Linked DNA regions of Coturnix japonica. The protein of the gene in region 1 interacts with the protein of each later gene in a biochemical or structural test. Links are inferred from orthologs where the notes say so. Each region holds a gene or a part of one and is shown on either strand. Other genes may lie near its edges.

Evidence for each region. The genes of interacting proteins can lie anywhere in the genome.
Region 2: of the proteins of AKT1 (region 1) and RICTOR, one has a biochemical effect on the other in vitro, tested with the Homo sapiens proteins (7 studies listed by BioGRID, with this or other methods). The link is inferred for Coturnix japonica from reciprocal best matches to the Homo sapiens genes AKT1 and RICTOR.

Annotation. Positions count from the first base shown.
Region 1 is NC_029520.1:46,986,313-46,990,577, reverse strand, and holds the start of AKT1 (RAC-alpha serine/threonine-protein kinase), read left to right. Parts: upstream 1-1,460; 5' UTR 1,461-1,887; intron 1,888-4,265. UniProt on the Homo sapiens protein: AKT1 is one of 3 closely related serine/threonine-protein kinases (AKT1, AKT2 and AKT3) called the AKT kinase, and which regulate many processes including metabolism, proliferation, cell survival, growth and angiogenesis.
Region 2 is NC_029547.1:11,164,392-11,167,904, forward strand, and holds part of RICTOR (rapamycin-insensitive companion of mTOR), read right to left. Parts: intron 2,243-3,513; coding exon 2,133-2,242; intron 1,989-2,132; coding exon 1,901-1,988; intron 1,141-1,900; coding exon 1,048-1,140; intron 206-1,047; coding exon 99-205; intron 1-98. UniProt on the Homo sapiens protein: Component of the mechanistic target of rapamycin complex 2 (mTORC2), which transduces signals from growth factors to pathways involved in proliferation, cytoskeletal organization, lipogenesis and anabolic output.

The DNA.
Region 1 (4,265 bases):
CTCCACTTTCAAGCTCCTTTAGTGCACTGATATACACAGAATCTGATGATCCACTGGACACTCAGAAAATTAGTGACGGATATAATTCTTTGGACAGACTTTCTAGTTGATCACATTGGAAGAAGGATATAAAATGTGAATTTCAGTAAGAACATACAATCATTCCCAATGACACCGCAGGAAAAACTCTTAGTATGTCAAATAGATTTGCTGCCTGTGTAAATGCAGAGCTGCGTTCCCCAGCTTTACTGATGTAAATGCATTTTACGCACCTTTATTTTGTTAACAGTGCAAAGCTGTGGGAAGATGTGGCATTTTCTAAATTCTAACGAGCTTCCAATTACAGAAACACGATCATCAGTGATCGCATGCTTCTGAACAAATCAAAGCACTCTTACGGCCCAGTTAGATTTTATGGCACTGTCAATTAGAAAATAAACAAAATCCCTTAATGAGTAAACAGGGAAAATTTTGATACTGGAAGCACAGAGAAATCATAAATCTGTCAAAGCCATTTCCACAACATCGTTTTTCAGAGCGGAGCAGCTCTTAAAATCTGACAAAATACTGCCCTGCTGCAAGCGACAGTTCTCGTTGCTGCAGCAATCCGTAATGGTTTGGGAAGGGCTTTAAACTAAAGCAGGGGACATTTAGGTTAGACGTTAGGAATAAATTCATCTCTAAGAGGGCGGTGAGGCCCTGGCACTGCTGCCCAGAGAGCTGTGGGTGCTCCATCCCTGGAGGTGCCCAAGGCCAGGCTGGATGGGGCCCTGGGCAGCCTGAGCTGGTGGGGGGCAGCCAGCCCACAGCAGGGTGTTGGAGCTGGGTGTGCTTTGAGGTTCCCTCCAACAGGAGCCATTCTGTGACTGTATTATTTGTGTGTACTGAGAGCAGAACGGCCTAGCAAGCAGCAAGGAGGCTGAGATGCAGCACCTAGACTCATGGCCTGGGTTGCTACCCTGTCCCCAGGCAGCCCCCCTTGCTGTGGGAAAGGATACTGGAATATCCTCTAAGTGATACCGCATTATTGAATCAATCAGGATTTAGGAGGCGCAGGGAAAAACCTGCAGCGTGTTAAGTAGATTTGTACGGCTTCAGGAAAGCTTCACAAAGTTGCTCTGGCGCTGTACAGGAGCCACATGCTTTCTGAGCAGCAGAGGTGCCACGAAACCACCGTGGCCCCGTGCTTGATGCCTGCTTTTTGGAGTTCATTGCCAACACTTTGGGAACACTTCGGCAAGACCAGACACCCGCACCTCAAAGCCAGGAGAAACTATAAAGTGACCCACACCCAGGCTCTGGCAACCGGACGCCCCTTGTAGAGGCCGGCGGTGCCTCTCAAAGCCGGCAGCCCGAAGCGGGGCCCGGGGCCGGGTAGGCGGCGGGCTGAGGGGAGCAGCGAGGCGGAGCAGGGCGGCCCCACAGCGCGGCCCCACAGCGCGGCGGGGCGGGCGGGAAGCGGAGCGACGGCGGTAGGACCCGGAGGATGTGAGAGAGAGCGTGTGGGACGAGCCCGGCTCCGGCTGCGGGGAGCTCGGCCCTGCGGCTCCGGGGGTGCTGCTGAGCGAGAGGCAGCCTCCTCCTCTCGGCCAGAGGCAGGAGCGAGGCGGAGCGGCGGGGAAGGCAGAGCCGGCAGCCCGTGTGAGCCCCATGGGCCGAGCGCCTGCGAGAAGGGGAGGAGGAGCCGGCCCGCCGCCCGCCGCCCGGGGATGGTGAGGAGGCGGCGGCTGCCGTGAGCCCAGTTAGGCCTTCGCTCGGCGCCCGCCCGCCAGGCTCTCCCTTCCTCCGCTCGCTCGCTCCCCCCTTCCCTCCCCTTCCCCTGCCTCTTTCCCCTGCCGCCGCCGCCGCCGCCCTCCCATCACCTCCACCCTGGGCTCCCGGAGCCATGTAAGTGACCCGCTCCCGGGGTGGGAAGGGCCGGGGGAAGGAAGCGCCGGGGCCTGCTCCGCCGCGCATTGTGCGGGGCCGGGAGGGGCGGACAGGCGAGGCGAGGCGGCCGCTCTGCTCCTTCCCCGGGCGGCGGCCGCCGGGCGCCCGCTGACCCGCGTAGGCCGCGGCGGGGGCTTTTGCTGGCCCGGGCTGAGGCACCGAGGGGCCGCCGGGGGTGTGCGTGTATGTACGGGGTAGGGGGGGGCAGGGCTGCGGCCCGGAGCCGGGCGGGAGGGCTCGGGGCGAACAGGAAGCTGTTGGCTTCCCTGGGATGCGGGGAATGGAAGTGCTGCGGGGTGGGGGGCTCCCCCGGCCGCCCTCTGGGCCTGCTGCAACCGCGTCGTCCCCGAGCATCTCCGAGGGAAAAAGGGGCTTTGGGGCAGAGGGAGGCACGGGGCATTTCCCAAAGTGTAGCACAGAAAGTGGCCGATCGTTCCTCCATCTACTCCCCCCGCCCCCATTTTCTCCCTTTATCTTTTGTGCGGCTCCGCGCTGCGTTGAGGATCGGGGAGTGTTTACAGTCGGGGGTGTGAGTCTCCGTGTGTTGGTGGTGCTGGGCAGTGTTGCTGGGCCCCATTGCTTTGAGTTCTTGCGGCGGTGTTGTGCAGAGCTGCGAGGAGCTGCTTACAGCCAACCCCCCTCCGCCCCCCAGGTGGAATTCTGCAATCGCTGAAACGTTCCTGCAGACTTCCAGGACTTTTCCTTTGGGTTCTTTGTAGAGCTCAGAATTCTAACAGTGTGTGCTGTATTTGCTGTCTGTTTTTACTGACACAAAGGTACAGATGCAGGTTGCACCTTATTGGGATTCCCCCTGCCCCTGGGAAAGGATTTAACCATTTTTCTCTCTGCTTTATTTTTCTTCCATCCCACCCATACAAGAAGCTAATCCCTGCTTTACTCTTGTTTGCTGTACTTATGCCACCAGGAGGGATGTACATTTTGAAATACAGTTACAAAGGGGCGTTACTAAGACTTAATTCAGAAGAATATTTGTTTACAGGTAAATAAACGTAACGCAGCCTATGACTAGTAATTACTTTTTTGTAGCAGCTAATTTCCTGATGACAGCCACAGCATTTGTCTGAGTTAATAGATTTAAAGGCACCGTGGAACTACCTTTGATTTTCTTTAAACAGGAGGGTTTTCCTTGTGTACATTATAGAACTGCTTTAGGTTCTGAGCTGCAGCAGTAAATCGAATCTAAGAATTGATCCAGTGTCCACAAGTAACCTGTAGCTCCGGCGTTGCTGGCTTATAGAAACAACCTGTAAGTAATTACAAATAGGATTAAATGGGTTCATGAGTGACTTGGTTTGTTTGGGAGACGGAACAAAACTTCCGTTATAAATACTTTGAAACGGGATTTGATTAAATGCATCTTAAGTCGGTGCAGAAGTTCTGAGCAGCACAGTCATTAAATTATATGAGGGTAAACTGTAAAAGGCCTTCTTCTTGTTTTGGAACATAAAGAAGATTTTGTTTAGCCTATGTCTTTGACGGAGAGTATGAAGAGATCTCTTTTTCTGCCATTGCTTAGTTTTGAAATACGCAGTTCAGTTTGTCCTATCAAACTGCAGTTGTGGTTGAAGCTCAGACAGCTGCATGTCGTAACTCTGGCCCCTCACCTGAACCAAATCAACCTCCTGTCTATTGATTAGTGGAGACGTGAGAGCACAGGCATTCCAAATTGCAGCTTTGTAAACCTAGATTGTGCTGACGGATTGGAGGAAAAGTGGATGTGGCTTTAGAGATCTTTTCTCCACTTACTGCTTTTTCCCGCAGTTCTTAGTGTCAGAGAAGCATTATTAAACCTTGTGATAAGCTGCACGTACAGTCATGAAATACTCATTTAGACATGGTGTTGTTCTGAATGGAACATCACATGAGCTAGTAGCAAAATATTTGTGACCATGCCTAACTCATGGGCCACAATGCATTTTTGTAAAGCAAGCTAAGATGCTGGAACAACCTGGTCCTTCTGTTCTCTCTTGAAAGCTGTCTGCCCAGATTGAGTAACTAGGTCATGGTGTGAAGCCGCTGTGAGTTCACAAGGCCTTGAGTGCTTTGGAAGCGCTGCTTCTCCTGGGTAGGATTTGCATAATGCAGGAGATGTACTTCACTGGTCAGAGCCTGGTGGAGATACTGCTCCGTACGCTCTACTTAAAACGTTTGCTGGAGCCCAACTTTGTTGCTCTTGTGCCGTTTGGATACAGTTGGCTGTGAGCTTAAAGGGAGAGCGGGGATATGATGCAGAAAGAGAGCGCAGGTTGCTGGTGTGATGTGTGGGCCCCACAACACGCACCTCTGCTCCCCTGCTGTTCTTGTGACGGTGCCTT
Region 2 (3,513 bases), on another chromosome or scaffold:
AAGTAGCAAAAAAACATCTACATGAAAGAAGCAAGAGTATTTGAAAGCATTCTGGGTCTGCAATCTAAAAATTTTGTTTAGAAGTTAAATACACATACCCTCTAACAGAGAGAACCTCACAATGCTGGGCAAGTGCCATTATATCTGGAATTACATTCTCCTCTTGAAGCAAGTTAAGACCCCAATTTGATGATCCAATGTTACCCTGGAATAAAATAGTTTGTCAGAAAAGTTTTGAGTTTGATGTGATCTGCAACATCTATGAAAAAACGCCCTCAACACTTTTGTCAGTGATATGGTTTCTAGCATCATCCTCTCAAAGATTTAAGAAAACTGAGCATTTTCTCTCCTTTTTATCTCAGTCATGCAAATCCAGTAAAAGACTCAGGATACTATGTACAACTCAAACTGCTAACTACTACACACTCCTCAACCTACCAATTCTACTACAGCCAGCATTAAAATCTTAGTTTACTTATTTTACTTACCTCTCAAATAAGCATTTTTTACATTATTAAACATTTGTTCAAGATAAGTATTAGAAAAGAAAATTTGAAGGCAACAGGAAAAAAGGGAACAATCAAGGTGATCAAGCAGCTTTGGAATTATAGCTTGAATAAGAAAAGACACCATGTTTTACTCAGCGTTATCCCCAGTACCAGAGAGAGGTTAAGACTATATTCACAAACCTCAACTATGGAAGCAAGCTTTCCTGTAGAAACATATTGTGGAACACAGTCTGGAATCAGAAGTTACAACCTGCTGACACTGTCACTACATGCTGAATTTTTTTTTTTTTTTTTTTTTTTTTAAAAACAGTAATAGCTAAAGCAGTGACACAAAACGCTTAGAAAAAATATACATAGTGAACAAAATCCATATGATATTTCAGTTACGATATAAAAAAACAACTGGGAGGGAAGAAGCAAATATTTTTTAGAAGAATTTGTAAACAATGGTTTTAAAGGATTTTGTTCAGTTACTTCAGAATACAAAGTTGTAACAGAACTCAAGCCACTGTAAAAAGATTGTAAACATGTTACTAACCAAGGCCCAAAGGGCTGCTTTCAGCTGCTTAATTCCTTCCCACTTATCCAGCATTGGGGAACGAACAGTGTAACTCAGATCCGTAACAATACTCTGAAGGAGAAAAAAAAAAAAAGAAGAAAAAGCAGTCAGCTGAAAATGAAGAGACCTCATCTAATTAGGTTATCTTATATACTTTTTAAATTACTGCTTTATGTTTGCTAAAAATGCATCTCACTGTGAATAGCAGTAGCTCTGGCATAATAAGCCTAAGTTAAGAGGAAAAGTAATGTAGGTAAAAACATCAATAATCTGATGCATGCATTAATAAATATGAGGTTATCTCTGATTTTATAAAGGAAAACTTCTTCCACAACATAAGCGCTCACAAAGTTTTTAAATACTAGAGACAATTCACCTTTTTGCAAATTCACTTTAAAAATCACTTCAAATAATAAGTAAACAGCTTTTTTTTTTTTTTTTAAACATTTCTTAGATATCTGAAAGAACGTTTTATTACCTCAACTCTATGCATTTATACGCATGAAAGGATAGACAATTCTAGCACTAAAAAAGGCACTAAACTATATTTCTACTACCAATTTGCTTCCCATTGTTTCTTTTTTTTTTTTTTTTAACTGGTCATTTTAAGAAAAATACTGCAAGGTATTTCTCTGATATTTCAGTGTCAGGAAAGAATTTTGCATTAGTCTGGATGGAAAGGTTCACAAAATTATGGCCCTGTAACACATCAGTTTTACAATCTACTTATTTTGTAGTCACTGTTTAACTGACATCTCTTAAAACACATTCCTTAAAAAAAGGAATGCTGTACACTAAAATCCTTCAAGTTATAAATCATTATAATCCTTACCTGAGACTCCAGTAAATGGCAGCCTGTTTTATGGTGCACCAGTTGGCCATAAAGGTGAACTGGCAGGTAGACATGTGGCCGCTGTAATCTGGTGGGGGGAAAAAAAAACACCTTTCCCAGAAATTTTGAAATTATCTATTAAAATAAATTATGCTGAAGTGTAATGCAGTAATGCAGTGAGTTACTCTTTTTTTTTTTTTTTTAAATGAAGATTTTTGTAAACAGTGTTTACCTTTGGTTGCTCCGACGAACATAGTTATCACCATCAACAGGTTTGCGATACGTTGTAAGTGCTTCATTAAGTTGTTCTTCAATCAACTCAACATACTTTAAGTTATACTCCTAAAAGAATATAAAGTTTGACACTATACATTTTGGTGGCTTATTTTTTATTGTATGATACTTTATAAAGAAGGAAAATAAGAATTGCTTCTTAATTAAAGCTGAGCTTCTTTATTATCTGAACGTGTGCCCTCCAAAATAACCATAACTTGACATTAGGACTTCACAGAAAACTCTAAGTATCTCAGAAAAACTGTTAGAAGGAACAGAAGAAATGTATCACACCTAACTTTAACCTGAAAAACCTCATCAGACCCTAATACATTTCAGTATACATAATATTGTTTATAAACTAGTAAAAAAATTGCCTAACAGCTCATATAATTGTGACCATTCACAAAATAATTACCACCTCAGGAAAATAAATGTCAACACTGCAAAAACAAAATCATCCATGAAGACTAATTTTAGTCTGCCAACAATGTATGTATGTGATTCTAAAAGTAATGCCTTGTTTGTTTTCATGCAAATGACAACATGCACAAAGAGCAAGTTCTCAGCTATAAAATGCTTAGGTAATTCCCATTTTCTGGTGTGACAGCTGTGCATGGCCACATGAAAAACAAGTTTTTCTTCCACATCCCAGCCAACACCCCACCAGTGGTGTGTCCCACTGTGCTATCACCCAGTGTTTGGTGTCCATAAACATTCCACAGGTGCAAATGAATGTAAACAGGAGCCATTTTTTCCACATGGAGGTGTTCAATGACACACCTTTGCTTCCTATGTACTTCCATGTCAGATACCATTTTGTTGGATTGCCTCTCTGCTGCAATTTGCTGCACAGCAACAAAGTGCAACAGGATATTGGTGGGAAGACTCAACCTACCTCTACTGCCATACCACGAACATCTGACTCTGATATTGTGGAAAAACATAATAAAATAAGAGGCAATACTTTCAGAGCAAACTATTTTTTATTCATTCTTTTTAAATGCGTCTTGTGTTCTTATCTACTCTCTAACAGCATAGGCTAATACCATCTTCATGAGATTTGGATATAACTTTAATTACCTACCATCAGTGTTGACAAGCATCTTGAAAAGCAGTATTCCTTTCCACATTTCTCTATGTAAGACTTAAAACAACCTATTTTAGAAAGTCATTACTCTCAATGTATTAATTGGAGTAGCAAATCTATATAAAAGTCTGGGGTAAAAGAGTACCCATCTACAGAGGAGTAATGCAACTCTAAGACCAAGTTGGCAAGCTTTATCAGCCAATTCCTAAGTCACTGAGGGAATACATGTACTGGAATTAGTAATGCACAT